Neodiprion lecontei: one gene and its partners. The protein of the gene in region 2 purifies or fractionates together with the protein of the main gene of each other region. This does not show direct contact. Links are inferred from orthologs where the notes say so. Each region holds a gene or a part of one and is shown on either strand. Other genes may lie near its edges.

Evidence for each region. Proteins that work in one complex are often made in the same cells at the same time.
Region 1: the proteins of BET1-like protein (region 2) and Golgi SNAP receptor complex member 1 purify together in Homo sapiens (affinity purification with mass spectrometry; 3 studies listed by BioGRID and IntAct, with this or other methods). This does not show direct contact. The link is inferred for Neodiprion lecontei from reciprocal best matches to the Homo sapiens genes BET1 and GOSR1.
Region 3: the proteins of BET1-like protein (region 2) and Golgi SNAP receptor complex member 2 purify together in Homo sapiens (affinity purification with mass spectrometry; 3 studies listed by BioGRID and IntAct, with this or other methods). This does not show direct contact. The link is inferred for Neodiprion lecontei from reciprocal best matches to the Homo sapiens genes BET1 and GOSR2.

What each region holds. Positions count from the first base shown.
Region 1 is NC_060262.1:25,007,866-25,020,064, forward strand, and holds Golgi SNAP receptor complex member 1, read right to left. Parts: upstream 5,903-12,199; 5' UTR 5,815-5,902; coding exon 5,781-5,814; intron 5,282-5,780; coding exon 5,106-5,281; intron 3,963-5,105; coding exon 3,781-3,962; intron 3,309-3,780; coding exon 3,240-3,308; intron 3,064-3,239; coding exon 2,826-3,063; 3' UTR 2,759-2,825; downstream 1-2,758. Other genes in the region: peptide deformylase, mitochondrial, read left to right, coding at 10,506-10,739, 11,353-11,730. UniProt on the Homo sapiens protein: Involved in transport from the ER to the Golgi apparatus as well as in intra-Golgi transport. It belongs to a super-family of proteins called t-SNAREs or soluble NSF (N-ethylmaleimide-sensitive factor) attachment protein receptor.
Region 2 is NC_060264.1:34,539,499-34,550,331, reverse strand, and holds BET1-like protein, read left to right. Parts: upstream 1-4,878; 5' UTR 4,879-4,989; intron 4,990-5,262; exon of another isoform or gene 5,263-5,418; intron 5,419-5,557; exon of another isoform or gene 5,558-5,568; 5' UTR 5,569-5,651; coding exon 5,652-5,670; intron 5,671-5,750; coding exon 5,751-5,914; intron 5,915-6,031; coding exon 6,032-6,187; 3' UTR 6,188-6,611; coding exon of another isoform or gene 6,612-6,705; 3' UTR 6,706-6,779; coding exon of another isoform or gene 6,780-6,892; 3' UTR 6,893-6,895; downstream 6,896-10,833. Other genes in the region: histone lysine demethylase PHF8, read right to left, coding at 1-2, 106-247, 308-586, 708-793, 1,376-1,491; translin, read left to right, coding at 2,803-2,874, 3,004-3,103, 3,207-3,422, 3,506-3,585, 3,666-3,902; THUMP domain-containing protein 3, read left to right, coding at 6,612-6,705, 6,780-6,892, 6,984-7,461, 7,556-7,734, 7,818-8,208, 8,287-8,339; probable ribosome production factor 1, read right to left, coding at 8,632-8,809, 8,894-9,158, 9,261-9,834. UniProt on the Homo sapiens protein: Required for vesicular transport from the ER to the Golgi complex. Functions as a SNARE involved in the docking process of ER-derived vesicles with the cis-Golgi membrane.
Region 3 is NC_060263.1:23,683,734-23,694,606, reverse strand, and holds Golgi SNAP receptor complex member 2, read right to left. Parts: upstream 4,666-10,873; 5' UTR 4,509-4,665; intron 4,282-4,508; 5' UTR 4,182-4,281; coding exon 4,042-4,181; intron 3,897-4,041; coding exon 3,398-3,896; 3' UTR 2,759-3,397; downstream 1-2,758. Other genes in the region: sodium-dependent phosphate transporter 2, read left to right, coding at 7,024-7,227, 7,340-7,546, 7,745-7,955, 8,102-8,724, 8,870-9,100; EF-hand domain-containing protein 1-like, read left to right, coding at 10,804-10,851. UniProt on the Homo sapiens protein: Involved in transport of proteins from the cis/medial-Golgi to the trans-Golgi network.

The DNA of each region.
Region 1 (12,199 bases), on a different chromosome or scaffold from region 2:
AATATAATAATTCAATTAATGATTACTATTAATGTTAGACACGCTGAACATGATATATTTATATTCACAATAATACCCGTGGTGTATATTAGGTGTTTGTATGGATCGCAATGCAAGATGAGTGTCTACCAGATAACTCAATAAAACAAAAAAATCCTACTTTTTTTTCAAACCTCAACAAACGTCTTCAAAGATGACACAATATGATTTACGTTTCTACATTCCTCTGTGTTTTCTGCAATTCATATCGAAATATTTAATTTTGTACCAAAGTATGCATCATTTTCTACCATCCCAATTCCGTGTGAAGATTGCTTAAGAAAATTTATTTTTCAATTGTCATTGAAATTGGCATATGACTAAGTCTCTTTACTTAACTCACACCTACACTTAGTTGTGAGATAAAATGAAGTACCACAGATAAGTGAGCAATTTAACACTTCTGCAGGCATATAACTGTATAAATCGACAATTGACTTACAGTTCAATAGCGTTATTTTTGTTTTTTCTGCCAGCTATCGCATACAGTATTGAGAGTCGTAATTCAATCTATCTGAGTACAATTACACAACAATTACATAATTTCAATATAGTTTTGATGGCGAAACAAGTTATGTGTACGATGCATAGTTTCCCTGTTTCAACTTTGCTTGAATACAATCGTTTTTAGAATTATTGTGGTTGTGTACTTCCCATCATTTTTGCACAAATATTCCCCTTTGAAGTAAAAACTGGGAAAGAGTTGTTATCACCATCCATAAGGCAAAAGGTGTTATGTTGTTACTATTCACGTTTCAATAACTGTGATCTGTAATTTTTACTGAAGGTGACATGTAGCATTCTTCCTTCAATTTCTTAGTTTTGAGATTCATTAGTAATAGCGTCCATGTGAACATGCATTTGAATTGAGAGACTGTGAAAAGGAGGAATGTGACAATACACCACATACATTCACTATCCATGCTTTACCTTCCTATGGGCTAATTTTTATTTACTTTACGACACATCTGAGTATGATATAAAAGTTGTAGGGAATGTGGATTATATTATCGATTGTGGGAGGACGTAAAATTTGTGGAATTTTAATTTCTCAGCTATAACGGATGTACATACAAAGTGCAATTATTGCCGTAATGAGACCAGTGTTTCACATCCAAATAAATAAAAATCACATCCAAAAAAGTAACAGTATTTCGTTCTTGGTATTTTCAATTAGGAGTTAAAACTATTTCATCCTTATTAATTTTTTACCAATTGTACGCTATATCCGTTAGCTTGGTATTAAAATTTCTCATTCAGGTTGTAAGAATTGTGAAGAACATTTTAACTTGTACCCGTACTTGTTGCAATCCATTGCATATCTCAATCTTGATATCAGATTTTCCAATTCGGTTTTTCGTAATTGTAAAGCACAGTTATTTACAATTTCCGTAAAAATGCAGAGGAATGTTGATCGATACTTGGTACATACGATGTTATTTTACGTTGTAACAATAAAGTTTCTGCACATGATTGGGCGTGCAATATAAGGTATTATTATATGTTTATGCTTCTTTAATTGTAATTTCACCCTCATCTTTCAATATACCCATGTCATTGAATATAGGAATACACTTCATTTAGCTTATTGGCGACTCCAATTATCCGATATGGTAACTAATAGAAATACCCCTCGTTATTATAAGTATTGATTAATAATTATTATATGTTCTATATAACTATAGAAAATCAACAAGCGTTCATAAATTCACGAGAGAGAATTGGTAAAAGATCTGTACAGGTATATTAGAAAAACCGTTCCTTAATAAAAGTATTTTAATTATTGCTCTCTGATCATTCGTCTTGGCAGATTCATCATTGATTATTTTTCATTACTTGGCTTCGTGGTATTTGAAAAAAACAACTATCTGGAAAATGATGCGTATGTACGTCGTACTCTTTATTTCAGTCTGACATATTTACATATGATACATAATCACCAGCACATTAATGTACTAACCAAGCCATTTCAATAAAGTATTAACTTACAGAAATCTAGTAAAGGCTCATTACTGATATAATTATTGTAGTATAATGAGATTGTAATAAAAAAATAGAAGACATTGGTAAACTTTAATATTACGGGGAAAACAAAAAAGTTAGAGTTAATGGTGAAATTTTCTAATGTGTATTTTACAGCAGTCATTGAACAAACTTCTAGGTAGAAAAATGCTGAATGCAGGTACGTGTAACTAGTGAGTGAGTACATATATAAACGACAGTTTTTTACGCAGTCAGTCAGTAAAGTAAATTTGGTTAAGGATGATGGTCAATTGGACAGTAGGTATATATATTAAACCTGAATACCTTTTCCGCATGAAAGGTTTGAAATTCTGTAAGTTTACAATTATTAACTTTTGGCACTAATAATCAGGTAATCGCATTTGTAATTCATTTTAGTGCTTCAGAAAGTCAAGATATAGTGTAAACTTGTTCTAGAGAGAAAAGATTTACCGATTACTTATAGCTGAAACTACTTCGAATTTGTTAGTGTCTCTGCTGGCACGTTAATCTCGCCTTTTGCTTTATGTACTGTATTTATGTAATTTTTCAATAATGGTCGTAGGGTCAGAACGTCAATTCAAATCATTTGAATGTCTTAAGATGTTGAAAAATCATGCACGTAATAATATCGATGCTCAAAATATTCGTAATAAAAATTTCAATCATTACTCAACTTGAGTTATATTTTAATTTTACATGTCTATACGTTTGAATCTATTTACACCGAATATTTGGTACCAAGTCCTAGTTTTTTTTTTTTTTTAATGTCAACTCAATCCAACTTAATGAAATGCATAAAGTAGCATCAGAAATGTACAAAATCCGATAATCAGTCCTAAAATAATAGAGTCACGGCGTTTTCGAATATTTATTCTTTGCAGTAAACTGTTCACAGCTGGAAATCGATTAGAGATGTCGTTGAAACGGGTTTGAATCCGTTTGAACGTGTGGCGTTGCGATACCAAGTGCTCTCTCGTTTCAACTGCTATACTTATTTGGTCATTGACCAATCGATCAGAGCTGAAATAGAATCAATGTCATTTCATCATTTTAAGATTAACTAAGGAATACACGGACTTACTGTTAGCATGTAAGGTTTTGTTCATGATATTTCTTTACTTCCGAAGCTTCAGTGAAACCTCACTATTCTATAAACTCATCAGATTAAATGTTGGCTGCTTGCAAATAATACTCACTTGTGTATGTGCTGACTTTCTTTCAAGTATTGGTCTCTCCTATTGAGACCACTGCCACTTTTATAGTTACTGAAATTTAACAACATCTGGTTAGATTAATAAAAAATCATTTCCGCAGCAAATGCCATTACTCATGGCTACTTGAATACAACTGCAACTCCAGATTGTATATTAACATGCTTGAAAGAGGAACTAGTTTAATTTTATTAACCTGACCTCACTTAAATCTGTTATTTACACTCCAATTTTGAATCACACAAAACTTGAATGGGGTAACAATTTATAATGCATATTTCGATCTCTATTTTTCCTATGAATTAGTCATGATAATTTTTCATTGGTATCACACAACTTTGCAATGAAAATTTTGCCTTCTTGTTCTATTTAAACTTTTGCAAATCCTGCTAATCCTGCCAGAGTCCAGATTTTGAGGTATATTCAAATAGTAAATAACACATTTCATGAGTACTGTGAAAAAAAAATATAAGTCAGATATTTTTGGAACGTCTATCGCAGATATAATACTGTAAGAGGTGCATACTCAATTTCTTTCCGCACGCTGCTAAGGAGATCTTCTCTATCACGTCTGGCGATGAAGTTATTTTGAGTTTTATTGAATTCCAACTTATAATCCTTTAAAATTTCTCTGTGACGTTGTATCCTATGCAACATATGCCCTCCATCAGGTTTTATTTCACTCATTTTGTCATTTACTGCAGATAACTGGAATCAATAATAAAAGCAAGCTCACAAGCACTATTTCGTTATTTGACTTGTTTTTTTAATTGAAATTAGCAAAGTTAAAAGCATAGGGGGAAGTCCCCCAGTGCCAAACGCATAAGGATATTCGTAAATAAAATCGTAACCTACGTGAAAACATAATGGTTTTTATGGTTATGTTCATCTTTGGAGTATTTTCAATGATATAGTAACTTTGTGAATTATTATATAACGTTAAACTAAGTAAAAAATATTATTGTATTTAGTAGTAAATACCAGTAAGTCAGAAAAGAGGCACCTAGTACCGGACGCTGATAGTACGAATGGAAAGAAATCATTAATAAATCTTGCAATGGTCACAAATATATTGCTCAGAGAACTCAGGAATATCTGCGTACACCTCGTGCACCAGTTCTTTAAAATTTGAGCCCTGCATGATACTTTTTTGTAGTTTATATTTCAGCGCAGCTTCTCTACCGGTCATATTTCCACCCAAGATCATTTGAACTGCCTTTTTCATGTTTTCTTCGGACCATCTTCCTTTTTTGAGTATTTTCGATTGGTTAGTTATGGTAAAATATTATTAAAATAAGTAGGTGAAAGTTTTGTATAAATAACAAAAAGATGAGAAAAAAATGGATGTCCGGTACTGGGGGACAAATCGAGTGTCCGGTATTAGGGACCTGTAATGCACGCGTGAATGACAAAATATGTGCTCGTTCGCAATATATCAACTTTCATTGGACATTGTTTGAAAGAATACATACCAAAAAATATGCCAGCGGAAAAACAAAACAACAGAACCACTAATTTTTGAAAATATAAGCATGTGAAAATTAGGTGCGACGAAAATTTATGCAGACTCAAACGTGAACTGACTCTCAGCAACGCACGAATGCACGCTGCTGCATGCGGTATATACCCCCATCATTACATCCATTGCACATGTCAAATCACGCAAGAAAGCTGTAGATACTGCTTTGACTATGGGATATACCATGTGTGTCTAGTACTAGTTGCTGTCCGGCGTTACGGGACTTCCCTCTACATGAAGATTAGAGTAAACTAATTGGCTGCTTGCTAATGAAGCTAGAGCCATATTTAAAAAATGTCATGTTTCAGGCTAAGTGAAATTAATTTATTTACCTTGGCGAATAGCGATTCTATCTCTGTAGCCATATTTTCAAATACATGCTCCTCATCGAGCAGAGGAACAGTATCGCTACTAGAATGAGCAGATCCTGCTTTGACACCCAATTTATTGAAGGCATCAAGTTTCGCATCAATTTCATTTTCAAGATGCTGAGCTTGTTTTCTTAGTTCTGAAAGTAATTTAAAAGTGCAATAACTTATCACTGATTTATATTAAAATATTTTTTTCATTCACACAGCAAAGTATGAACTTTCTGTAGAGCATGACCGTTATTAAGATGAATCTATTGTTTTGTTATGCTGTTCATGATGATATGTTTATATTTTATTGTGTGACTGTACAAGGTTGACTATTCAATGTTTATGTGTAGCTCAGGAAAGGGAGCGATAATAACAAATAAAAGCATGATCTTCATGCAGGGTATGCCACTTAGAGCATTGTTAAATTCATGTAAATTGGAATGTATTTACTTCTGGTTATTTGACACAATACGCTATGTGAGATCTGTCAAAAGTCAAACTGAACGATAGCATCGAACGGGAGTGAAGAATTATAAGATTTCCTTTCGGAATATCATACGAAGAAAGAATGTTAATTTCATTTTATAATTTAACGTTATTGCGTTACGATATTTTATTGAACACATAATTTATATTGCCAATAAATACCTTCCCATCCGATAACACCTGCAACAGTTGCCATTTTCTACGATTTAACTACTCCACGTATAGAGGCAAGTGTGATGATCACAGTGCTCGTTACACCGTAGAGCTGACAGTATGTATAGAGTGGGCCTTTACCTACCGTTGACTTACCACTGGCCAACACAAAAAGTTTCATAAAAAATTTTAAATACACATGTGTCGCAAGTCCGTGTATTGTATTAGATGAAATGACTGTATAGATTAAATAATTCTCCTGTTGGAAGAACGTCATTTCATATAGAAGATTTTTTTTATATCCGTGATCCCGTCGTCAGCATAAAATATCTTTAACCAACACATTGAAGCAGATTAAAGTAATTTTTCCCGGTTTGAATTTGAGTCACATACCATAGAACAGCCAGAGTGGATTGCATCTTATTACTTAATCAGAAATGTATGGACAAGTGTCGTCACCTGCATTAAATTCTATAAAATCGTAGGTCAGTAGGCGCTTGTAGTACCGGTATATCTATCGTTTACGTTAGCAACAAATGCTTTGCTGTATTACACAACGTGAAAGCAGTAGATAATGCAGTGCATATTCACCATAGCAAAGTGTTACAGTCGTGGTCGAAACCGAACAAATCACAAACATTAAGAAATGATACCATTGCGACATATACGAATAAATAATGAACTTTGTAAACTCAAAATTTACTCCAAAATTTTTACTGTTTTCTATTAGTATGTACAATCTCCATTGAAGGGTTGAAATTGGGTTTTCGCAGAGGATTAATCAATCGTTACAGGTGACAGTGTTACACGAGATGAACCAATGCTAAATATCTATCTAGAAATCTACATCATCGGTAACATTATTTTTTTAGTTTCAATCCTGTGTTCGTGCTTTGGAAAAAAAACTGGGTTTGCGATTCTTCTCTGTTTCATCCATTTTTACGTATCGCCAGACTGTGCATTCGTCGCACGCAGCTAGATCGTCATCTTCAGTTTGCCGGTCCAGACTTGCTTTTGCACAGCCGAATCGCTCGTCGTCATCGGGCATTCGCTATTCGTCAATTCGCCGCTATTTCCTTTCAAGTAACCGAAGCAGAGCCACGTGTGTCAACTATACCTGTAGGTTCGTAGCGGCATCAGTTCAAAATATAGATCGCCGTGTTCAGTTTGTGTAACATGATTTGGTAAACAAGCTTAAATTTGATAATTGATGGTATCCCGGCGCCCTCGCGAGATATAGCCATACAGAGCAAGAAGCAGAAGAAAAGGATAATTAATATAATAATCGTAAACGCGTGGCTCGACGTAAAAATTGCTTATTGAAGTAACAGCAGCCGGTGAATATCGAAGGTGAGTTTCATGTCTCGAGTGTTCATTCTTTTGTACAATTTTCTCGTTTGTCAGCGTTGTTTTGTTGTTTTAATGTTTGTTTGCTGTTTTTTGGATAGTGCGTAGTTACGTCGTCCGCAAGTTTATTCAGTCGGTTCAGGCAGCCAGTTACAGTACAAAAAGTACGAGTGAGCTTGGATTTGAGTGTTATTACTGTATGCAGATTCGTTGCTAAATTTATTTGGCTTTCTAAAGTTTGCTAAATACATTATCGACAGATTGAGAGTCAAATTACTCTCGAACGGATTTTCGACTCAAAGTCACACGCGTTTTACGACGTGAATATGCCGAGATCGTCTTTTGTCACGGTTTCCTGTCTTACTTACTGATAAAACGGACTTTGCGAAACGTGACTTTCGTTCGAGTTCACGTCTCGGAATTCGGATCGCGGATCGATGTCGAATGTGGATGCAACCCTTTAGTATTATTTCTTGTGTATAAAAAATCAACCTTATTGGAACGTTAGCCGAAAGGAAGACTCGACCGTTGCAAGTTCAAGAGTGCTTTGTTTTTATGTGTAGCTGCGTTCATAGGATGCGTAAAACGTAATGTTCGAAAGCATGTTTTGGTTCGTGTTTATCACTGGTGAGTATTTCTTCGAATTTCGAGTCATTCACTTCATCTCTTCCGAATTTCTTACCGGGGACCGATACTATAACCCTTATTTCGTAGCGTACTGTAACAGAAATTCATACATTACAACGTTACGTATTTGAAAATTTCAAGTGGTTTGACCTCGGTAAATTTTCCGTACATCTTACGGATGACGAAGTGATCGTAAATAAAGAACACAAACGAATGTAAATCGTTCATTTGTTTTTATTCCTTATATGACATTTTTTAATAATTGTATTAAGTTCTGAATGCTACTTGTGTGGATTTGTAAGTCACATTGTTAACAACATATTGTCTTGTCTTACCTGATTACAGAAACCAACTTCAACAACGTTGATAGACGTGGTTTACTGGATTGAAAGACCCAGTCACTAAATCTTAAAAAACATTATGTGGTAGGTGTCCAGATTAATTTATTGCAGAAATGTGACAAGTCCCAAACAATCCAGATCATTTTTCACTCGATTATGTCATTTACAACATATTTGAGTAGTGGCATAAGCTAATACACCAAAATTGCATGTATTTGGTCTCAAGTACAATATGGATTTTGAACATGAAATAGTAAAAAAATGTGCTGTTTCACCTGATTACAGGAACAGACTACGGCAAGATTGATTGTCATTACAAGTGAATATCTATATTAAGTGGTTCTAGCAATCAATGCTGGAAAACAAAATGCAGATGCTGAGCACGTCAGAATCTTGTAGAAGAACGAAAAATAGATACTTTTGAAATCATTCCTGATTATACTATGATCCTACTTTCACTTTGAGGTATTTATCTTTTATTGTTAGTTGAAATTTATTGCTATACACGCCTTGATTATATTATGGAAGAATATTGTAAATTTTCTATGGGGGATGGATTCATATGGAAAATAAGAAACTTATAAAATATTGTTATTTCTTACTCGATTACAGGGACAGACTACATCGCAGCACTATTGACCGCTTCGAGCAATGATCTGAACTAAGTAACCCGATCAATCGATGTTCGAGAACAAAGTGAAGAGTAAACCAACTGCTACAGTGAAGACAATTGAAAGGTATGTAACAACGATTTTTAATTACATTGTCGCTTTTGATCGGAAATGATAGCAAACATTTTGAATGCTGCCCACTGACTTTATACATTCCTTCAATAATTGTGCTTATTTTATTAGCCATTTATTATTTATTGGCCCAGTTCATTTATTAATACGTCACAAAAGACTGAAATAGGGAAAAAAAATAAAAAATATTCTTACACGGTTAGTCTGTAGTGAGGTGAAATCTGATCCAAGTATATTGTGTGAGTAATATTCTGTTATATTCTTATTGCACTGTTAAAAGTGTGTAATTTTACTATTCCTATTCAATCGGAGATGGTACGAGTACTATATTAGCAGAATGCGGTTCGATTCTACAGAAATCAGTTCTACAGAGTACATTTTTTATAGAACTACAAACTCGTTTTTACAGAATATTTTTCTACAGAATGTTTATCCAAACAATATTTTCCTACAGAATAGTTTACACTTACGACACAGATTAGAGTCATCGGAAAACTATTTTTATTGAATTTTACTGAAAAAGATTAAATCGGTAGTGTTCTCATGATGATAACTATGCTTTGTTATAAATGTTTGAAAAGTTTGAAGAATCAGCTTCAAGGATCTATGCATCAATTTGAACAATATTGAACAGTTTATGAGTATTTTAACATTTAACGAATTTTCCCATGTCAAATGAATGGGAAATTAAAATTAAAATAGAGACCTGTTAGACTTGAGCTAAAGAGCTCTTTTCTTCTATTAAACACTAACATTTGAGGGGGTAAGAACGGAAAAAAACTTTTTGAACCACCCAAATGTGTATGTAGCGTTTTATATGACTATACTAACAATACAACTAATAGTTGGCAGATCCGCTTCTGACGCAAAATATTACACATTTTTCTCATTGCTGGATGGACAATTGACGAACATTGCCGTAAAAATTTATTGAATTTGTCTAAAGGAAGGGCTGATAATGAGTTAATAAGCGAGGTACTAGAAAACGAATTCTCAAATTAAGGAAGATGGGTTATTTTAGATTAATATTTATTGAAAATTAGAAAACGATTCATTTTTTTGATCAAATAAAACTAATAATTTGCACTTTTCTAAATTACAATTTTATTGTTCCGTAAATGAAACTAATTGCAAAATTGTTGCCTCAATATTGTGTAATGCGTATGGAATCGTGATAAACTCGGATTTTCCTAGTCTACTCAGAGCGAATTCCGGTAAATGGCTGTTTCGTTCAAAACTTTATCTAGTACATGAAAAACAAGTTGTTATCCGCTCAGCGTCTTCAGAATTATGTGTCAACGAGCAATGCTTGCCATAAATTTAAAGCCCATAACGTTTGTTAATTACTTATTTATGCTGCGATAACATTATTCGTTCAGGTTTGTGATTTGTTCAGTTTCGACCACTACAGTGGCACTTCGCTATAGTGAACATCTCTCTGTATTACCGACTAGTTTTGTGACGCACACGGTACGGTGCAGATTGGTAACCGACCCGGATTTACCGTCCAGGACATCTTGAAAATTAGTTTCAAAAACCTATTTCGTATGAGAGGGCGCCAACAAATTAGGCACACTGCTCTCTGAAGCTCCGCTCTTGCAGACGTCAGTGTTGACCCTCTACGTCGAGATTGGGAATAGCGAAAGATATATTATAGGCATTTTTAAGAGTTGGCAATGGCTCCGGCAGCTTGTGCCCATCGATTGATCTTTCGTAGAATGATTTTTGGCAACAATGAAGTCAGGAGAAGCCTCAGTTTTCGGAAAGTTAGGCAAGTTTATCAAACGTTATTAGGCAGAGATACGGTGCAGCCCCCATATCACCATATCTGTCAAGCTGGCGACCCTGTCTTGAGGGCGTGCGCGTCGCCGGTCGACCCAGAAATCACCACGGAAAAAGTATTTCAAAAGGTACAAATAAGTTGTAGAAATTTCTCAGAGTTTACAATTAGTCAATAAAGATATTACATGGTAGATTATTACCATATTTCTCCAGATTTACCAGGCTAAAATTAAGAGTTTCAATTGGTTTTTATGAGAATTTCCGTCTTTCGCATGTTAGGCAGTTTTGTAAAACTTACATTTCAGTAAAAGTTCTGAAAACTACAATTCTCGAGTGCCGGTTTGTTTATAAAGAACATGGTCACATGATGCAATAGTATTTTCAGATCTGTCGAAAGTACTTTTCACGTACTGGAACAATTGTTTCTTTTCTTGGATGAAATTTTATTCGAAATTATGTCAATTTGCTTAAAATATCAAAATATCCGGTTGTCGAACTTTTAAATATTGAATTAATATTTACAATACAAGTACGCGTCAAAGTTTGCCTCGTGCTTTAAAAAAAAATGCGCTGGTAGTTCGTATCTGCTGAATATTTGATGAGCAGCAATACTTACATATACGTATCTATAAAACTGGATTCAGAATATCTATTTGAAGACATATATTTCCATAATAACAATGGTATATCCCACTTTTGCTGGATCGTTTAAAAACTTAGGAATATCGTCTCAAATTTCAGTTGCTGGATCATATGAAAGCCGTAATGAGACATTACAACGCTGTTGGCTTGGCAGCGCCTCAAGTAGGAGTTTCTTTGCAAATTTTTATGGCTGAGTTGACGGAAAAGCAACTAAAATATTACGATTCCGATACCATAAGAGTACGGGAAATGAAACCCTTTCCACTTCAAGTGTTTATCAACCCAACTTTGAAAGTCCGTGATTATTCGGTACTGAAGTTTCCGGAAGGGTGTGAAAGTATTCGCGGTTTTGACGCGGAGGTTTCAAGATCCAGAGCTGTTACAGTTTCGGGTCTCGATGCCAATGGCAAACCCGTTACCTGGGAAGCGGTGGGATGGGCTGCTAGAATCGCCCAACACGAGATGGACCACTTACGAGTACGCGGCACATTTATTCTGTCACAATTCGTTACGAGAATGATGTACTCAGTCTTTACTGACCGCATTAAATATCACTTTGTTTTCTTTTATACTGGAGTACGCTAGCAATTGCAGGAATCCACTTTGCTAGCGTTACTCTAGTATGAAAGAAAAATTTTTTTGACTATTTTTGTCCGGCATTATGCAAGTAGGATTGCGCTTATGCACAACTTTTACATCATGATGTTGCCTAGGTTTTGATAATGGTTGAAATAATCGACATTTTACTCAGTCGGTAAAAATTGAGTATTATCATACTCTTGACCTTTCGTTTTCAAGCCAGAGATCAATTTTTTAATTTCAATTTTCACATTTCCCACCATCCAAGCACTCTGATTGGTTTGCAATGTTTAGTCAACCAATTAGAATGCTTGGATGGTGACTAATGTGAAAAGTGAAATTACAGAATCGATCCCCAAGTTAAATT
Region 2 (10,833 bases):
ATCTATAAAAATTTTGTCATTTTATAGCACAGATGCTCAAATGTCATTACACTGAAAATCAAATATTCCTGAGGCATGTGTGTTGAAATAAATCAAAGAATTTACCCCGTGTTCGTAAATTCTAGACTGATAACATTCAGGACTCTCGTACGGCATGGGTCGTTGTAATACTCGACAAAATCGCGAAGCTTCATCCGCACGTTGCTCTGTTTGGTGACATCGATCACATCCATCTCTCTATCTCCACCTAAGCAATACGAAAAGTTATTGGCAATCCGAAAATCTTGAAAATATTTTGAACTCCTACCAATGTAACTTTCTACATCATAGACACTGAAGTTTGCAGGTGGAACAGTCATGTCGAGGCCATCTTTGCCGTCAATGATAACAGGTGTTTCAAATCCATGTGTTTGTAAATATTGTAGTGTCAATTGCTGACCCCTGACATGTTTGATGATGTCATCAGACTTTGAAAAATGCCGTGATTTCAGCTCTCTTATAAAAACAGGTGTCCCAGTCTGGACTGCCTTTGAACTTGCTTCCGACTCGGCATAATCATGCCGGTGCCAATTCATTCTGGTTTTCACTGCAAGTGATGAACAAAAAAAATTAAATCCAACAAGAATAAAACTGACTATCAAGATTATCATTTTTTCATATCTTTTCTCTCGCTTCCTTGAAACTAAGTCCGTCTTGGCTATACTCACTCAGGGATGGGCCGTTTGTTTCCACACACAATGGGCAGTGGTACTTATCAAGATCTGTTGACGAATATTCCTTTACCGATACACATCTATTTGAATGAAATAATGTTATAACAATTGTTAAACAGCTTATAAGGATGATTAGGAAAAAAATTAGAGTAAATATGATAAGTTTGCTTTAAAAAAAGCCTGAAAATATCAAAAGAGTTTGACCTAACCTAAATTATGGTTAACAATTTATATTTCATGGGTTCCTTTGACTTGATAAAAACTGTGTGGACAATCTTAGCTCAACAACAGTTCTTGATTTCTCGAGTACGCATAATATTTTTAATAGTTTATTTCCGAACGATAACATCAATTGAAAAATTTAGATGCTTTTAGGTTATGTCAACAAAAATAGAGTGTAAATATCAAGCTGTCGAAGTTTAGGCCAACTATTTCCACGCTTCTCTGTATCAAATTATTGCCGTAGTATCATCATAGTTATAAAACCGTTTCACAAGTACTCACAAAATATTTTGACAGGTTGAGGATATTCGATTATCGAATATGACAACATTGACATGAGAGGTTTGTGACGCGGAGCAGCCAATAGACGCACTTTTTATAAACCAAGGAGCTTGAGGAGCTTCGTTATGCTAGCATCGTATAGGATTTAGGTGACTCACCCTCCGTGGTACCATTCCTTACAAACATCGCATTGTATCATAAACTGTTCGGGAGTGTAAGATTGACCGCAGAAACAATACGTTCCTGGCTGCGAGCGGGCAGCTCCCAGCTCCATTGTAACAATTACTAATATTGGGCGTTGTTATTCCGAAGCAGATTCCCGTTACTGAAGGTATTGACCCCTCGAAGCTGCGGCTATCCGCTACGGTTCCATTTTCTTAGCTGACTGAAAATTCCGAGGAATTCTTTTAATTCAATATTTCTAGAAAAATCGAACCTTCGGCTCACTGACTCGTGAAACGAACGCCTCCTTACCAGCCGCGGCGTCACGTCATTCATGATCCGTGCACTGATCATCGATGGAGCGTGAAGTCATTCGTGTCAGGTGTTATACTGTTTTGTCGATCGACCAATTTCAAAACATTCTCTTTTCAACATTGTTCCTTCGCTACACTACTGTTTTTGTTCTTGGTATTTGAATTCCTAATTGCAGCATTCATCTTTCACAGAGGGAGCGTTACAAATAACGATATGTCGAAGTAAAAAACATTAGTATATATCGAGCATGGCAGCCCAATAGACGTATGGAAAGACATAAAATCAATGTTTTCAGTATGATATCTAGTTTTGAAAATTGCACAAAACCACTTCTACCCCTGCTGAATACAGATGGATAATCTTCGTAGTTAGCTTCATATAATAATAAATAAACTTTGCAAATCAGTCAGAGTACTTGGATGGTGGGAAATCTGAAAAATTAAAACACAGAATCGAGCCCCTAGTCGTTGTCAAGTAATTCGAAACACAATTCACTTTGCATCTAGTGACAAATATTCGAAATGTGCTGGAATTGGCTGCACTGAATGTTCACAACCGATTCCAGCGACATTCAATCAACGACGGAGTTCACGTCAAGTACTACTATCAATATTACATACATCCCGTATGTGTGTCATCTCATATATATGTAATATTGCAATGGCAAATTGACAGTCAACCGCACGGTCTTAAATACATAGGTATACACAGTAGAGATCAGTGCGTACAGGTCTGGGAACTCACTCAAAATTTCACTGGTGGGGTGTCCTTTTATTGAAGCACGGGCCGTTTTTCCTAGTGACCACGAGTGTCGCTGCTATCGAGGGATTCAGGCTATGTGAGAGAGACGGAAACAGATTTCAAAACCGCGGACGGTCAACAACCTGTTTCCATCTCTTTCGCACAGCCTGAATCCCTCGGTAGCAACGACACTCGTGGTCACTAGGCGGAACAACCAGTGCTTCAATAAGAGGACATACCCCCATCGCCAGAGTTCCCAGACCTGTATGTAAAATCGTGGTCAACCGGCGTTCGGATAACTTTGTGACAAACACGATAGAGTTCATACGGCTAATCGTAAACGTAGATACAAATCCCACACGTCAGGATGTCGACCAACGTAACGTCGATTTTTAACTCGTTCCAAGATTACCTCAACACGGAACAAGAACTCCGTGAGGTACGTGTTTATAGACAATAATAATACGTGGTGTAAAAATATAATTAATTCAACGAATACAGTAAACAATTCGACACAAAATGACAACAATGTCAATTAACCTTTACACGGTTTTCTTGATTCATTCAGGAAATCCGAACTATCGTCAAAGAGATTGAACAAAGTGCAAGAGAAATCCTGATGGTACTTCAAAATATTCACAATGAGAATGTGTCCGAGGAAAATACTAGTATGATTGTAAATTTTGTAATTCTATTACCATCTTATTTTTTGTTTGCTAGATTTACTTATTATTTACTGTATATCAATTTATTTATTGTTTGCTTACTCAGTAGTGTCGGAACACTGTACTAAGGCAAGGTGTCTATTTGAGGATGTACGAAAGGGTTATGCCAAACTAGCCGCTGTTGTTCCTGAGAATCAATACTACCGATTTCATGAACATTGGCGTTTTGTCACGCAACGTTTATGCTTCCTGGCTTCTCTCACTATATATCTAGAAGTCAAAATTCTTGTGCACAAAGACACGGTTGCAGAACTATTGGGAGGTACGTTGACGATGACAGTATTACCAACTTATTATCTAAAGCCTGAATCCATAATTAGTTGTGTAATCTCTCTATAATTTAAGTAAAGAGCAATCGAGAGGAAGGATTTCACTTGGATCTTGAAGATTTTTTGATGGGACTTCTGCAGCTATCTTCAGAATTGGTATTCACGAAAAATCATTATTATTTGTGAAAATCGTTCACCCATAACTGCAGTACATTATTTATAAATATTTTTTCTAGTGCCGCTTTGCAGTCAACAGCGTAACGAGTGGAGACTATGATCGACCAATAGAAATATCCAGGTTTGTGAATGAATTGAACGCTGGATTCCGACTCCTCAATCTGAAGAATGACTCTCTTCGTAAACGGTTTGACGCCCTGAAATACGATGTTAAAAAGATCGAGGAAGTCGTTTACGACCTCAGCATTCGAGGACTGAAACCTGCTGTACCGCCTGCTCCAGTAGATTCGAAATAGAAAGGCAATTCTACTACCACAATACATTAACTATTACTCACGATACCAAGTGAGAAGCTGCGCCAGCATAGGTTTTGCAGTGAGGTTAAACATGTGGACATAATTCAACTTGATTTTGACAATCTTCTCGAAGATTATTGCGACGAGGTGCGACAGTGCCTAGTTTTTGTAATGCTTGATACCAGTTCGTAATAAAAATGACCATAGTTATACTATATGCAGTTATTTTATTTCCAACAACTAAGTCATTGATTCATTGCACATTCTTTATTGCTCAGATTAACAGGTCGATTAGTATCCCCTCGTTTTATTTAAGATACTTGGCATTATTTTCGGTGAAGAATTGCGCTATACCGTGCGATCGCATTACTTCAGAAATATGCGGCTGGATTGTAACCTGTAGGAAAAGACAAAATTAAGAACCGATGGTGTTCGATGGTTTCGTGCGTGGTCAAACGGTGTACATGACATCGCAAATATCGATGGTCTGATACATGGAGCCTAGAGTAAATGGTCTGATAGGAAAATAAAAAACATGCTCTTTACCTCTCTTCTCGTTTGATGACGAAAAAAAATCGTGAATATTTTTTGCCGTTTTCTGCTCGAGAATACGCTGTATTTTTATTAATACGAGTACCAAACTTCAAATCGATTCATCTATTACAGTTCGAGTTATCGTGTACACTGTTTTGAAAAACCTAGGTTTAAGTAAAATTGTTTAATATTTTTCTGAGTATAAAAATTTAATTAAGATGTATCTTACTGTTAATCTACCATTTCTACCTCGTATTGCATTTAAATCTTAACCGTTCAAACTATTATGAATATTCGAGGGAAAAAACTCTTCAATATTGATAACTTCACTCGTTAAACAACTCGTTGTGGAGAAAACGGAGGCAAACGAAATTTACTTGTACACGTGTGGACGCGAATCCTGAAACAGCCTATTTTTTCCCTAGTGGATTACGTTGGCAATGGAGAATTTCACAATCAACCCGTAGCAAGAATACGTTTGAGGTTTTCAAACATGGAGACTACACTTGTTCAAAGCAATGTATAAATAATTCTGAATTACCATGCTTAAACGGTAGTGTATATTCGTTGATAAATAAGTGACAATATTTAATACCAGTCAAAATAATATTTTCTGTAAGATCGTACCGATAATGAAGCTAAAGCGTAACATTCGACTAAATGGGGCAGCCCTACGCGAAAAATAGGCATTTAGTACTACATTAGCAATTATAATAGGTATTTCTCATTCGGTCAGACTAATGAGAGGCCATAATGTCAGGTTGAAAAGATTGAATCAGCGTAGCCATAAGCAGGCCGTAAGACGTAACCAACCAGCGATTTCGATAGCATTCTTACTGTTTGTTCAAATGCCGACGATCACAACTCGTTTCTTGTTGTGACACGTCACCGAGTGACAATCGGGTCCCGAGAGAACGAAACGGACACGTCATTTGCAATGTTTGCGAAATTTATACGTTCAATTTTGTAGCAAACGAAAAAGGTAACGAATAAAAACTTGATTGCACAGCTTGAGGTGGTTTTTATTTTTTATGTCTTTCGCCTGACATCCGCCCAAGTAGAAAATAAGCGCAAATTATTATCGAATTTTGGGGTTATGTCGAGATCTCAAGTAAGTTTAGTTGTGTTTCAGTGTTTTGTTCCAGGAAAATGAGGAGAACGCACGGGACAACTAGTCACAGATAGTCCTCGGAACATTTCAAAATTGATTCAAAAATGAGGCGGTCGCATTCGGGTTAGTCGGATGTGCTGAAAATAAATAAACAAATCTTGTCTGTCAAGTTAAAACTAAAGGTATTTTCTTCCCGTTTTCAGGGGGGTATGCTTATGGGCCGTTGCCAAGCACCTCTCACGATGCTCTGGAGGAAGAGAACGAACGGATAGCCGATGAACTGAAGGACAAAATAAGCCTCCTGAAGGCAGTGTCCATTGATATTGGTACCGAGGTTAAATACCAGGAAAAAATGTTGAATGGAATGGTTAGTAAGGAGGCTAATTAAACAGAATGCGGAAAATCAAACTGACAGAATTCAGTGTGACCAATTACTGAAATTAGAGTTTGTCTTACAATTATGTTTATTCAAATTTTGTTTCAGGACGAAGATTTTGAGAGGACGAGTGGCTCCCTGACTTCCTCTGTGTCTAGAGTATTGCGTATGGCGAGGGCAGGACATAATTATTACATCATTTACCTTTTCCTTTTTTCAATTGCTGTATTTATTGTGTTATGGCTTGTTCTTAAATTTAAATAATTTCTATAAGGTGTAGAGACACGCTCCAACTTTTTTGCGCATTCTTAGTCTACCCATTGACTGAAGAATATAATTTTAGTTATGAAAGAATATATATTCTTCAGTCAACGTTCCACCGTATGAATGACATGTTATTGGTGAATGGTATTTCTAATTCTACATGTTATGTGTAATAGAATAATTACTTGAATCATTCAAATGTAAAATACAAAGAACGTTTATTTTCAAAATTTCGTTATTATGAAAGGCCTAAACTTAGAATTGGAATGTCAATCTGTTGAGTATTTGAAATTTTGATGTTCGAACGTTTTTTTTTTTTCTTTTATGGCGGGTCATAGTTCCGCCTTTTTGATACAGACTCCATATACTTACACGTCGAAAATCGGCATCGTGACTTCGACTTGTTTATCAGTGCGATTTAACGATGACGGATATCAACGAATCTGACTTGTACAAGCTATTTAAGAAATCTGAAGAAGCTGAAAGCGTCTATACAATCGGAACTACCGTAGACACAGGTACAACACATAATAATACACGTGTTACTGCGTTTGTTTTGTTTCTTTAAACATAACCTAAACGTGTGATACAGGTTTGGAATGGCAGGCGGTTGACGAATGCAAAGAGAAGGTGGATACGACTTTACACGTTGTCAAGGAGCGTGGAAAAATCTATTTTAACATACGTCTGGACCAATTTTCAAAAGTACTATTGCCAATATTATCATGATGCCGGTATTCGATCATCGTTTGTACAAATTTTCTTTTTGCTCCTATTAAAAAAAAAAAAAAAACAGGTAAAAGAAATGAGATCGATTGACAATATTTTTCTGGTATCCGATGTCCGTCAATTCAACTTCTCAGAAGATGATGGCGAGACTGATTTGACGTTGCTAAAAAATGCAATAGAGAAAGATCTCAGGCTAGAAAAGGGTTTGGAAGCATGGAAAGCAATGACTGGCTTTCGTGGCAAACTTTACCCTAAACAAGAAGAATTTAAAGATGCGGATAAACTGCTCAAAGCTGAAAAAAATCAGCCCCCGGAAGATGCAGTTGTAGGGGATGTCAGGAAGGGAAGAAAACGGGGTAGAGATCCGTCCCTATCCAGTGAAGAAGACATCCTCAAGTACAGAGTGACTTGCGAAAGAACAGGTTCTCATGCCTTTGAATCTGGTCAAGTTGCGAGAGTAATCGGGGGAGAATTACAAGATAAATATTTCTGGCTAGTCGACTTGACCATGTACCATCTGGAAGTCATTTGCAATCTAGTTCAGAGTGGGTTTCCTCAGCACAGTTAAAATGTGAAATACATATTGAGGTTCATCCTTCAATAATTGAAGTTTTTTGATCTGCTTACTCACATTTACAGATGAGCTGGCAACCTGTCTTCGCATAACTCATGAGTCCAAACATCGCCGTAATATTATTCACTTTGGCCCAACTACGCTGCGAGCTACTGTGTGTTATAGTTTATTACGACTTGCGAACCCAAAGCCAGGGGATATCATAATCGATCCAATGTGTGGCGGAGGCTCCATACCGATCGAGGTAGAACGATTACCCTTGAATAGATTTGACAAAAAAACACAGCTATTTTTCAATATTTTTAATATGCCTTTACAATTTGATAGGCAGCAATCGCTTTCCCAGATACATACGTTTTGTGTGGAGATAATCATGAGAAAGCTGTTGCTAGAACAAAGTTAAATATCGATGCTCAATCTATCAATCATAAGACAGAGCTGATCACATGGAGTGTCGCCAAATTACCGCTGAAAGATTCTTATGTTGACATTGTGGTAACTGACATGGTAGGCATATCATTGCTTATATGCCAATACAACATATGTCTTTTGCTATTGTTCGTTGTTATTAATTTTTCAGCCATTCGGAAAGCGAAGTGGTTCAATGACAGACAACAGAGTGCTTTACAAAAGATACATTACAGAGTTGGCTCGTGTTGCAAAACTAGGTACAGGACGTCTGGTTCTACTGACTTACGATCGTCGCAGTATTCAAATGGCAAGTGGGCTCAATTTTCACAAGATATTTGTAATACTTGAAACGCATTAGAAAATTCATTTTTTTCGCATCTTGCAGGCTTTACAATCCGCAAGCAATTTATTCAAAGTGATAAAAATGCTCGGGGTTAATATGGGCGGGTTGCACACAGCTGTGTATGTTTTGAAGAGGACCAAGTTACCGTATAACCCGTAGAAGAGTAATTCTTCGACTTTGCAAGACTGATAAGAATCAAGCACAAGTTATCAGGATACTTTGTTTATTGTAAAGTGGAAAATATGATTTCCATAAACATTGAATACCACGATTTAAAATTATTTATGTTCACGTGCCTAAACGTATTTCAGTAGGCTTCGATTCAGCATCCAGTAAAAATTATGCATACGTATACAAGGCATATACGGCAAAAACGATGTCTATTTACTACAAGAAGAACTTTCTTCTGCTAGTTTCCATGGCATGTCGACGTCCTTGTATTATCCATTCGTATTCACCATATTTACTGTCGAACGTCCCTCGTTGCAGAGATCTCAATTTTAGGGTGAATCTTGGGCCCAATTCTCTGAGCTTTGCTTTCCCCTTTTTTAGGTCAAACTCGTATCTGGATGGATTAAAAATGGATGCATTAACCAATTTTATCGTTGGAAAGATTGTTAAATTGAAAATTCAACAAGCTTAATTCTACCTATGATGTCTAAAAAAAATATAATCTCGCTGATTGTGAAATGTGACTGCCCTGCGTCCCTTGAATTCGGGATCGTAGTGAAACAACGCCCCAAGCATTCTTCCAACCGAATGTCCTAGCCTGGTCGTGAAATTGTTTAAAATCACTTCTGGACGATGCTCGGTTATTTCTTTATGCGATCGCTTCAACTCTGGTGTAATTTTAACATTACTAAGTTTGAACTGCGCCGTTGGACCATCGGGCAGGTGCACAACAAGCATGCCATCTGATCGGCGTTATTAAGGAAATGTAAGAACAATAGTTTAAAAAAATTGGAGCAAAATGGATAAGACACGGATGTCAATTTTCATGCCATTGAAAAGGATACTTGGCTGTTTCATATTTTCATTTATCACTATCAAGTCCGTGAATCCCTTGGCAATTGCACTTTTAACCATCTTCTTGACACCCGATCTGTTTCTGTAGAGCGATATAGAGTTTGGAATGATGCGAGTCAACTCGCGACCAAATATTCTCGTTTTTCTGAGAGGGTTGTCAGAGTAGGTAATGAGTACTTTGGGCTCATATGTGTGTTTGTAATAGGATGCAAACTCGTCGTGCTCAAAATCTACTTTGACCTCAAGATTTTCCTCCGCATCAACGTCGCCCTGGATTGTAGTCTCGTCCTTTTCACGCAGACTTTCGATGGTGTGAGGGACTTTTTTGGGCTCGCCATCCCTCTGGCGTTTTTTCCTTTCTTCTTTTTTAGCCTTCGCCTTTTGCCTACGAAATTGTTCACTTTTTTTATGGCGAACTATTTTGCATTTTATGTGATTAAAATTGCTGTCGCTCGGCAATGAGACTTTGGGATTTTCGGGTGGCGCGATCTCGCTAACTTCAGTTTCTTCCTCCAATGGGACTTCACGTTTCAACGGATTTTTTCGTAGATTCTTCAATTTCATTTTAACCCTCAATTGTGAAGCGATCTGTTTTTCAAAATATCACGATCTCAGCTCACGCACAAAACCATGCGTACTAAATTTCAGGTTATGTGTTGAGAAGATTTATGTATTATACGATTTTGTCACGGCGCATGCGCACTGTGTGTTGGGTTGCGTCGCTTCTAATTTTTTCTGACAACTCATCTGTATTCTTCGTGATTATTTCATGGTTCAGCAGCAGATACAGTAGCGTTCTGTGGGAAGGAGAAGGTTTGCGATTTTGTTAAACGCAGTTAAACGTTTCACTCAAGGAATCATGGTGTCAATATTATTCGAAATAATTTCATAAAATCCGAAATTACACTGAAATTAGTAATATTGAAATAAAAGTCTGCGTTACTAATCAGTGGCAGTTATGAAAAATCTTTTAGGATAACAGAAATCTCGTTGTAATGTTAAGAAATGATATGAAATCTTAGAAATCGTGAGAAATCACCTACGCAATGTAAAATTATTTGTCAAGTAATCTCTCGTAATCACTTTATAAAATACAAGTAATCATGAAATATTTTAATCGTGGTGTGACTTTTTTCTCAGTGAAACACCCTTTACCAGAGTCTCTCTTACTCGCCGAGTAATCGGAAAATTCAAACGTACGCCTGACGCTGCAATCAACGGCAATTCTGTACACATCCTAGGCATTTTTGCGCATTTCCCGCGCACAGTTCTGATTGGTCGAAAACTTGGTGGATGAGACGATTCCGGGAATCGGAGCTCCGCTTGACAGTCCGCGTTGGTCCGCGTCATTCGCTCTCGAACAGCTGGAGTGAAACGCCGGTCGACAACAGTCTCACAATCAAATCAAGATCGCGATATTCAGTCTGTGTAACGTATTTTCGTAAGTGGTTGCCGACAAATGACGGTCAAGTAAGTAGAAGAATCGTGGATGTTTAGCTCTAAGAGGAAACGAGTTATTGAAGTAAGAATCGCTGGCGTAGCTGAGGTGAATTTCGTGGTTCG
Region 3 (10,873 bases), on a different chromosome or scaffold from region 2:
AAATAGAAGACGATTTGTGCTCAGCATTTATGTTCAGTTGTAGTTGCTACAAAGAATTTTTTTCCGCATAGTTCACGTAAAATGAGAAATATAAATGACACAAGGTGACTATCACGTGTACATTAATTCAAAGTTAGCGTATTATCACAATTGTATCATCTTACTACGTTTCTTATTGCACTTATAATGAGTTCCATCCTTTTTCCAGCGATCTATATGAATTAACGGAATAAGAATACCACAAGTCATTATTAATTTATATTTGATAATCAACTGTTGAAGTGGTAGACTGATAATTAATTCAACAATTTTATTTAACCATTTGGATTAACATAATAATCAGCATTGCATATTCAATCCCATGCATAATCTTATATCGATATTATTGAAAGTTGAAACTACTAATTTCAGACATTATATAGGAATATTACACTCTACGGCTAGTTTCAGAATTGAAAAATAAATTTGTCGATATTTTGGAAATAGTGGAATAGTTTCATTATAAACATACGCTTTGGTATAAATTACTACGTATACATTTGCTTCAGTGATGTTTCACCTAAATCAATGGAATTATAACACCACTACATTTCGACATATGCCATATTGTAGATACGTTTATATAATAAATGCCCACGTAACATAGTCTCAACTGCTGGTCGATTGATTAATTTTTTTCCCACTATTTCCCACCCAAGTCTTAAATCTATTTTTAATGGATTTTGGATGAGGACCTGGTTGTCTCCTCCTATAGAACTGCTTCTTTCGCGTAAAAGCTGACATTACCGCGCGCCCTACCGTAGGCAACCTGACCTGCGTCCAGCACGTTTCAGAAGGAGCGTACGTTGAATTTTCATTGGCACATATCCTTGAATTGAGGATCATACTCACAAAGAAGAAGAAATTTAATTTCCCACGTTACGGCAACTGAAAACTCGCGGAATTAATATGGAATAAAAGGAAATTTGTAAGGTTCAACGACTATTATCTGTAATATTTATGAATCTCTGTATTAAATAGTGCAGACGACTCGTATGAGTTTAATGAACAAAATGAAACCTCCTTGACAAAATCTTACAATACCTTATTACATCTGCATATAATGATACAATGATCAATTCTATGGTTATTATCCTAAATAAAATCCTTACCAGATGTATCGGTAATTCGTTTCTGTTATATCAATGCTATACAATATTTACTTCAAGAAGTTGAAGAGAACTTTATTTCTTCGAAAAATTACGTGCTACTTGCATCCTATTGCTTTTTTAAAAAGGGAAGCGAGGGTGGTTTCGGCCGAGTGCCTCGCCTGAGAAATTTCATGGGGCTTGGAATTTTACCGTTACTCGTGAAGGACGGCTAGGGAGGGAGGAAGAAACGGCAGGTGTTCACGCACAAAGAAACTAAAAAGAATATACGAACCATCGGGCGACATACGACAATTTAGAATCAAATTACGGTTATTATAGTACGAAAAACTTCATTACATACAGCTTATTTGTAATCAATATTTCACGAAGCTTGTTGAATCATCTTAGACGCACGTTGTATACTTCTAGGGGGTCACCTTAATAGCTCGGCTCTCCGTGTTATGGGTCCAGCATCCTTGGATGAGTGTGGATCTAGTCACGAATAAGATTTGGAAACGTGGACTGAACTCAAACTCATCCAAGGCCACTAGACAACGAATTCTCCGCCCAGCTTCTGCATTGACTTATCACGTAGTTGAGAACAGAAAATAAATCAAAGACTGATCGTCAGCGTGCCACGACCAACCTCCTTACACCAGAAAAGCAGCTTTCGGAATGATCCGCGTTTAAAAAATTACCTTGCTTGAGAAGGAACTGGTGGGGATGTATGTTCTTGGAGGGGCAGAGGGGAAGGAAAGGGGGGATTTGGGCCTGACCCTTCCTCCTTTCGCTATAATTCTCAATTGCAGCAGATAGAGGGGATTTATTCAGAGCAGAGCAAGCTTTGAACTCAAGGAATCTGGTCAATATTTTATTCGGCAAATTTTACGAAAACTAAATTTTAGAGAAATATTTCTGTTCTTTTCTGACCTTTAAGTTTTCACCACTATCGGGTTTTCCTGTGAATTTAGTTTTTAGTCGCAAACGTGGAGTTAAAATCCACTCCAGCATTTTTCAAAAGATCAACTGCTCGATTCAATTTATTTTGTAATTATACTAACAGAGTTCGCCGAAAAAATGTGGTGTTTATAAAAACTAATGGGGGAAACTACTGCCAACAAAAATATTTTAAAAACGGATTTCATCTTTGAAATAAAATAAGAAGCAAGTGATCGGTTAGAAAAAAGAATTGAAAAATGGCAACTGAGAGCCGATCATCACTACTGAAAAACCAATGTTTCCGACTGAAATGTATAAGTTTGCACAATTTCATGTGATTTGTGCAAAAAATTTATCTAACTTTCCAGTTTTTAAGTAAATTTCCAACAGAGTTTCCGAACGTTCCACAATTTTTAAACAGAATCTGGTAATCGGAAAAGACGAAACAATCACAAAACAGTCTTGTTGAAGATTTAAATGGTGTAGGATTTGTTTAATTTACCTACAATTAGTTTTTTGAAAGAAAAGGAGGAGGTACGGAATTTGTTGTTTTTACAGGTTCAGCTGTGTATCCGAACATAATCAGGAGTATTTTGATATTAAAATGTTTCCAAGCTCGCGTTAATAGGTTAATTAATAACAAATACTTCGTGAAAATCGCAAAACGTCAGCATTGAATTCAACGGCAATTTATGTAAAATTGTGGTGTTTTATTTTACCGGGAACCAACTTAATGCCAAATATAAATTCGTTCAACACAATCCGACAGTCAATCATGGAACAGCCACAGGTTTATCGACATTATTGTCAAAAAAATTAGATTGGATTAGTATGCAAATTTTTAAAATAGTGCATACTAACTAAAAACATCCATAGATGTGAAATTAAATTACTTCATTAACTACAGGCGAAGGGCAGTGATATATCTAAAAAGAAACATCTACAGGGATTTGGTGTTTGATATAAAGTGTGATTACTTCTATCTACATTATTATCCGATTATCCTTCTGTCAATATTTAACCACCATTTAGAATGTAAAGTAGCTAGTCCTTGTAAAAGGAGATGCAGGAAAAGCAAGATACTGAAAGAATCACTAAAGTATTGATGATTAAAAATTATTAATTCTTTTCGAATGCAACATGCAAATTCCACTATGACACCATCTGTTACAATAATTATATATTCGCCTCGGTAGGTTATAGCTCATTTTATACAAGGTACTTCTGAACAGTCTGTCTAGCATTTGGAAAAACTTACTAGTTGTGATATTTTCAATTCGGATTGAACTGAAATTGTAGTATATACATTCAAAAATGTACAAATACAGCTATGTAAGATATATTATAACTAATACTATAATTAAACATGTAAAAACCATCCCAGCTATCAATATTAATCCATCTTGCCGAGCTCTTTGTTCAATAAGCCGCATCGTTGTGTTAGAAAGCCCCAAGATGTTTCCAATATCGACAAGTCTTTTATGAGCACCTTTCAATGTAGATCTTTGCGATCTTAAGCCTTCCAATATCCCAGAGCCATGCTGAATTAGGTCATCCATACCATGCGTTGCATTTCGCAAACTAGAATTATGCTGAAGATTGTGATCTATCATGATATCTATTTGGTCGTTGGGGGTGAATTTTTTAGACAAAAGAGCTTCACGTTCAGTTTCTTCCCTTTGCCGGCGAGTAAGTTGACTTCGCCACGAATTTAAAGCAGCAGCGAGGTGCCGCGAATCATATTTCAACTGGTCCACTCGCATCTTGGCATTTTGCCTCTGTGATACAGGACCCTTCATACACAAAATATCAAGTCGTTCACAGTTACTGAAAACGTAAAAAAGCAAAAGAAAACATGTTAGGAATGAGTTATGTATCTTTCCGGAATACAATGTAGGTATTCAAAGATCCACTATCTAGCTAATTGGAGAAGCTATGATGTTTTGTTTGCCAGATTTATTTTTTAACCTACCTGTTGATGAGATTTATCTTCGACTGTATGTCATGCTCTATTGCTTGAAGGTCCAAGTCCGAATGTTTCTTTTCCAGTTGAGAAAACGAATGTTGAGTTTCCTGCACTAGCTTATTCGTCTGATGATACAAGGTCTCCATAGTTTCTTTAAAGCCTCGATTTATGTTACGATAAGCTTATGCAGCAGAATTTAATGACGTGATCTATCCGGCTACGATATTATTATTGCCAGTTAATAACCTAAAACATTTGTTAGGCATAATGATTTAATTACGCTCAAGGATTTCACGCGCAGAATTTGCAATTATCACCGGGTATTAAATATTCGTTATTGATATCACAGGTGGAAATAATCCGTATCTTTGAATAAATAAATTATGCAACAAGAGTACGAGGTGGACAGATGTCTTTCGATAACACGTATGTAATGATTATTAACGCATTACACAGCTTTTTTCAATACTCACAAATTTTCAAATTTTCGAGAAGCTGCATCGAAACTTTGCGATGGAATAATTGATAAATTCATTGGTTCCACCGTCAAAACATTGTCTGATAATATTTAAAGTCAGTCAGAGATTCGGATGTAACGTGGACATCATGTGTCACGTCAGGCATTTTCATGTTGGAATCATGTTGGAATGAAATTGGAATTGCAGTTGTCCGCTGGCGCTAGAGTGCAGTGGCGTTGCTAGCTACTCGCCTAGTCGTAAAGCAAGTTGGGTGGCCTAGAAAAAGGCGTTAAGATCGAACGCATGAGGCAACCCCGACGAGAATCGCGTAACAAACCGGGGAAAGTATAAGATAATCGAGAAACTTGTGATAATACATAGAATTGGGAAGAAGGCAACCCCTTGAAGAATTTAATCCGAAATAATTGATCGTGAAGGTAAATGTGTTAAGTGTATTTTTACGCAGATTTTGATGACAAAACGAAGACGAAATTTTGGACGAAATCTTATTCTAATAGTACGATGCGTAGGTACTATTAAAGCCCCGTGTTGTTGGCTTATACGCAGTTTATTAACGTATTATTACAGGCAGTGAGGCCTTTGTATTGGATAAAAATAGGAAACCTCTGCGTTAGCAGTGTCAGCGTTAATTAACGGCTAATTGACGTGACGCTAAATGAAATATTGTAAGTAAAAAATAAGTTTCCGCGAGCTCCGCTCACTCCATAAGGCTCAGTCATAACGTAAAGCAACGTGTCGGACGGATCAATATTTCACCCTCTTGCATCCGCTATTACCTATTTACAAAGCTATACTAATTTTAGTTTGCCAGATCAGAGTATAAAAGTGTGTTCATTCGGTAAATCGATTGTGACGTTTCCCATCTTGAGTACACATATAAAGGAAAAAATTTACATCACGATTCAGATTCAATCTACTCTCGCCCGACGGTTCTCTACGATGTATGCATGACCAGAATTGTATGCATCGTTTGTGTTTAGTTAAATTTAAATCATTGTAACCACATTTGGCACTTGCCGATTGCGTAATAGAATTCACATTATAATGATTAACATGTGTCGCACATCTAAACGAGAAAGATAGGATTCTATACCTGCAGCACGCGGGTGTAAAGGAAGTCCAGTTCTGACGTGACCGTCCGTAGATGCAGTAGTTATTTGAATTGCATTGTTTCATCGTCAATTTTCGTAATTGATGTAAAAAATTGTTATCACTTTGATACTCAGATGATTTTTACCAAGTCGTGTCATAAAAGATGCTATAGTGACCATATAATTATATACCTAGATATGTGTAATATAATTTTCATGCCGTACATGTCATCATAAACGAAAACTATCTAATCATCTGCTTCATCATTTAGTAAATATCTCGTGTTCAAATGATTTCTGGAAGAGAGTTTTCACATAGAAAATAAAGCCGTTTCATCTCGATTCGATCTAAAACCTTCAAAAATGGAACAGCCACTAATTCAATTGCGCTTACCGCTGCAACACATGTATTAGTCATTCATCCGAAGATGTTTTTTTTACTTGAATTGATTGTAATGAAAGGAATCGAATACATCGCAGTGAACGTTTTTTTGAAAATTTATGTAACATATACCTAACTCCGAAATGGAGAGTATTTGAAGCGATTTCTTGGAAAAATTATGAATTGCTCTAATCCTTATTAATTTGCGAAATCTTAAAACCAAATTTGAACATTTTCCAAAATTAATCAGGTTTCTCTAAAACACTCGAATTTTCTACATTTAGTTCAGGATGTTGTGGTTTTCTAATTTTTCAAAAGTAAGTCTGAAAAATTCGATAGATAAATATTCAGAATTTTCTAAGTTACATGAAAATATTTTCATCCACTAAAGAAAAAAAATGGATTTTGAGTTAATTATAATAATTAGTTTTCATGCTTTGCCCTGATGCTAATTCTCTCAACTTACAATTATACTTACTTTTTCCAGATGTGGGGAGAGAAGCACATGTCTTGCTCTCGTACGAGAACAATCACGTGGTTAAAAAATAGTTATAGGGTTCAGTTTAGTAACTCAAACCTTAACAAAGTCTGTGACGTTAGAAGTAATGCATTTAACTAGCTTGTTGGATTAATATGGTAAATAGTTTATTAACCCAGATTACAACCATGATAAATTCTATCATAATGCTGGAGAAATCAGGCGCTATGCTAAAATTCTACCTCCGCTATATGTACAAAGTTATGAAAACTGAATTGAACTTATTAAGTATAAAATGAAATATATTCTGATATAAACACGTATTTATACACGATATATAAATGTATAGGGTAGCTTTTCATCTTTAATACGCGTCTCTTCAAGTATTAAATGAAAATCAATTATTATACTGTAATAAGCACGTATGTATACTATACATAAACATAAGGGAAGAGAACTGAATGGACATAGATACATATATGATGTGAAATAGAATAGCAGAGTTAAAGTACCTACTTAGAAATTTAAAGTAAAAAAGATCAAATTCAGAAACTAATCATGGCTATACCATATGATGAAAGCCTAATATGGCTAGTAGTTGTTGGATTCATCGTCGCATTTATATTGGCATTTGGAATTGGGGCAAATGATGTCGCAAACAGTTTTGGAACTAGTGTGGGTGCCGGTGTTCTGACAATAGTTCAAGCTTGCATTTTAGCTACAATATTTGAAATAGCCGGGGCTGTACTCATAGGATATAAGGTAAATGTGCAACATCTGTAAATTTTTCCTGTTACTCGAAGTGCTTTTATAGCCATCATTGCACATCAGTACATTTAATTATAATGCTAAAACTCTTTCGCCCTGATTTTAGGTATCTGATACAATGCGCAAAGGCATACTCGATGTGTCACTGTACGAGGGACATGAGAAAGAACTGATGCTCGGTGCACTTTCTAGTCTTGTTGGTTCAGGTATTTGGTTGATGATTGCAACTGCCTTGCGTCTTCCTATTTCTGGGACTCATTCGATTGTTGGCGCAACTGTTGGCTTTTCACTTGTATGCAGAGGCACTGCAGGGGTATGTTCTTCACAATGACAAGAAAAGTTTGAGATACTAAATGATAAATAATTGGCTTAATACAACTCATAAGTTAAACTAAGTAGGTGAAAGAAACTATATTATTTAATTACTAGTTCTAATGATTCTTGAAAAGTTAAGGTTCTCCATTTGAATAATGCAAAGAAAATTCTACAGCAGTCTATTTAATATTTTTAGGTAAAATGGGTGGCTCTTGGAAGTATAGCAGCTTCTTGGTTTGCTAGTCCCGTACTAAGCGGCCTAGTGTCAGCTTCCATTTTCTTAACACTGAGAAAAACTGTTTTACAAGCTAGTAAACCCCTGGACCGAGGTCTCCGAATCCTCCCACTAGCTTATGGCCTAACCATTGCTACAAATGTACTCTCGGTTGCACACGATGGGCCAAAACGTAAGTTAAACACATGGTTTAGGTAAGCAGAGGCATTTCACTTGAACTCAACCACAATTCACCAGATGAAATCTTGTTATTCAGGAAACTTGCCCCATGTATGTATAATATATAAACCTATATAACAAGTACGAACGGTTTTTTAGTGTTGAAGCTGGATAACATACCCTGGTGGGGTAGCATTATAGCCGCAGTAACTAGTGGTTTACTGTCCGCTTTTGTTGTATACACATTTGTAGTCCCATGGCAGAGAAAAAGAATATTATTGGCTAGCGATGGTGTTGGTGGTGCCACAGAGTTCGATGCGTGTGATAGAAAAGAAACAACTGCGCTGTCAGTCATTGCTCCAGCTCCTTCATCTAGTAAAAATTCTGAAGAAACACCAAAGCTTAGGGGCAACACTAGTGCGAGTCCCTTATTATTAACTGTTGGGGCGGATGTGGAAGGTCCGAGTGTTGAGGCTGGAAGAGACGATGAAGAACCAGTAGAAGTATCAAAACTCTTCTCATTTCTCCAAGTATTAACTGCTGCATTTGGAAGTTTTGCTCATGGAGGAAATGATGTTAGCAATGCCATAGGACCTTTGATTGCATTGTGGGCAGTCTATGCTGACGGTTCTGTTCGTCAAGAAACAGAAACTCCTCTGCCTATTCTTCTTTATGGAGGACTAGGCATATCAGTTGGACTTTGGATATGGGGGAGAAAAGTTATTCGAACACTCGGCCAAGATTTAGCACGAATTACTCCAGCTAGTGGATTTACAATTGAGGTATGAGACAATTTTTTACTTACAAGACATGCCGCTGCATTATTAATGTCACTATGATTTATCTGCAAATGCATTCGATCCCAACAATCCATTTCTTCCAATTATTGCGCTCTTATTTGCTGATAACTAACTATAACTATTACAGGTAGGTGCAGCACTAACAGTTCTGTTGGCAAGTAAGGCTGGTCTTCCAGTGTCAACGACGCATTGTAAAGTGGGTTCGATTGTGTGTGTCGGATGGGTATCACGTGGTGGTGGTGGTGTGTCCTGGGCGCTATTTCGTAACATTGCCTTTGCGTGGTTAATCACTGTACCAGTTGCAGGATTATTATCTGCTGCCTGTATGGCTGTGTTTAGGCAAGTACTTACTGTCTGAGTCGAAGAATGAATTAGGTATAAATACAGCTTAGTAAAAGTGAAAGCCATCCAATACAGCTATTGTTATTAGGACATAAATAAAATGAAACTGAAATAAAGGTGAAATACTTTTTCTTCCGGTGGTCTTACAAGTTCTTACGAAGATACATGATTTACAAACAACCATAGTTTTTCGCTGTACTTAAAAATGTCTATTAGAAAGGCATTTACTTTGTAAAGTAACTGATGCTGGCTAGCAGTCTACATGTTCAATGGAATTTGTCACACTATTGATAAACACACAATAAAACAGAATCATACAACACAAACATAGTAAGTTGACGGCAATTTTTTTTCATCTATTAGTATTACTCAATATCTATATTTTTGAACAAAACCTTCCAGGAATCAGAGCATTACTTCAGAAATTCTCTAATATTTGCCAATGGCAGAATAAGGTAAGTTATATCCATTGAATTCTACACAAAATAATTTCTAAAGGTAATAAACGTATTTTGGAAAACATATTCTATCAATGTATATGCAGCATTCCACGCCAAATCAACCAGCGTTGGACCCTCACTGTTTTGGATTTTGTTCAAAAATTTTCATGCTATTATGCCAACTCCAAAACAGTACACTGAATTTTTTCAGATTGTTTGAACTGAACTTGTTTTAGTCAAGATTTTTTAAAACTGACATTTGTTTGGCTGTAATTTAAAAATCTGTAAAAATTCTCAAATATCTTATGTCAGATATCAAAATTTTTAAACCTAGGCTCAGAGTATGCTAGCATTCTTCTTTTTTCATTCTTATTCTTTCCAGTTTTTTTCGGAATATAGATTTAAAAAAATTTGATGGAATTCTCAGTTTTCTATTCGTGGTTGCTCAAACATTTTTATATGTAGCATCAGGTATTTGAGAATTTTTTAGGTTTTTCCGAAACAGTTAATAATTTACAATTTTTTCATCTAAAAACAGAAAATCACTTTGGAAAAGTATGAAAAAATTCTTAAAAATCCTGGGTTATATATGATAAAATGTTTGCACAGTAGCCCAAAAACGACTGATAATTGATTTTATTTTTTCTCAATTTTTCTTTAATTGTAAAAAAAAAAACTCAAAAAACCGAAGCCAAACATTTTTTAGACAAAAACAACAATGTTGAGAGTCCGAAATTGGTTGGCTGGCATTGAATGCACCATATACGAGTACATACTAATCAAAAAAATTATTTAATACATTTTTATCCCACAATTGTATTTCTAATGAATAACACAAGACAGATTCCTCGTGCTTAGAATAGTACCAAGTCGTCCTATAATTTTAAGATATACACATTACAAAAATCAACTTAATCATTGCCACAAACTCTTGTTTTTCAAAGTTGTAACGATTCCTTCAACAAAAAAGATATCTAATATTTCGAGCAGAAATATTCGTTAGCTTACTTCCCTTATTTGATTATCATGTTGCGACCGACAACTTTCCCGTCATATTTCGAAGGCAAAAACTGTATTTTTGTAATTCATCTTGATTCTGAAGAAGTAACTAATCAATATGCAAACACGCCACTTTCTTATTATGATACAAACACAGTCCTGTTGTTATAGAAACGAGTTCAGTTAGCTGTCAGACTTTCTCAAAAGTATGGTTTTCGTCACATCATTTTCAATTATAATGATGCTTTTATAAAAATGTACTAGAGACTTCAGTTCTGAAATGGAGAGTCTACCCCTGGTCCCAGGGTACACTTTTCGTGACCCTACCGTAAGTTATATTACGCCGATGA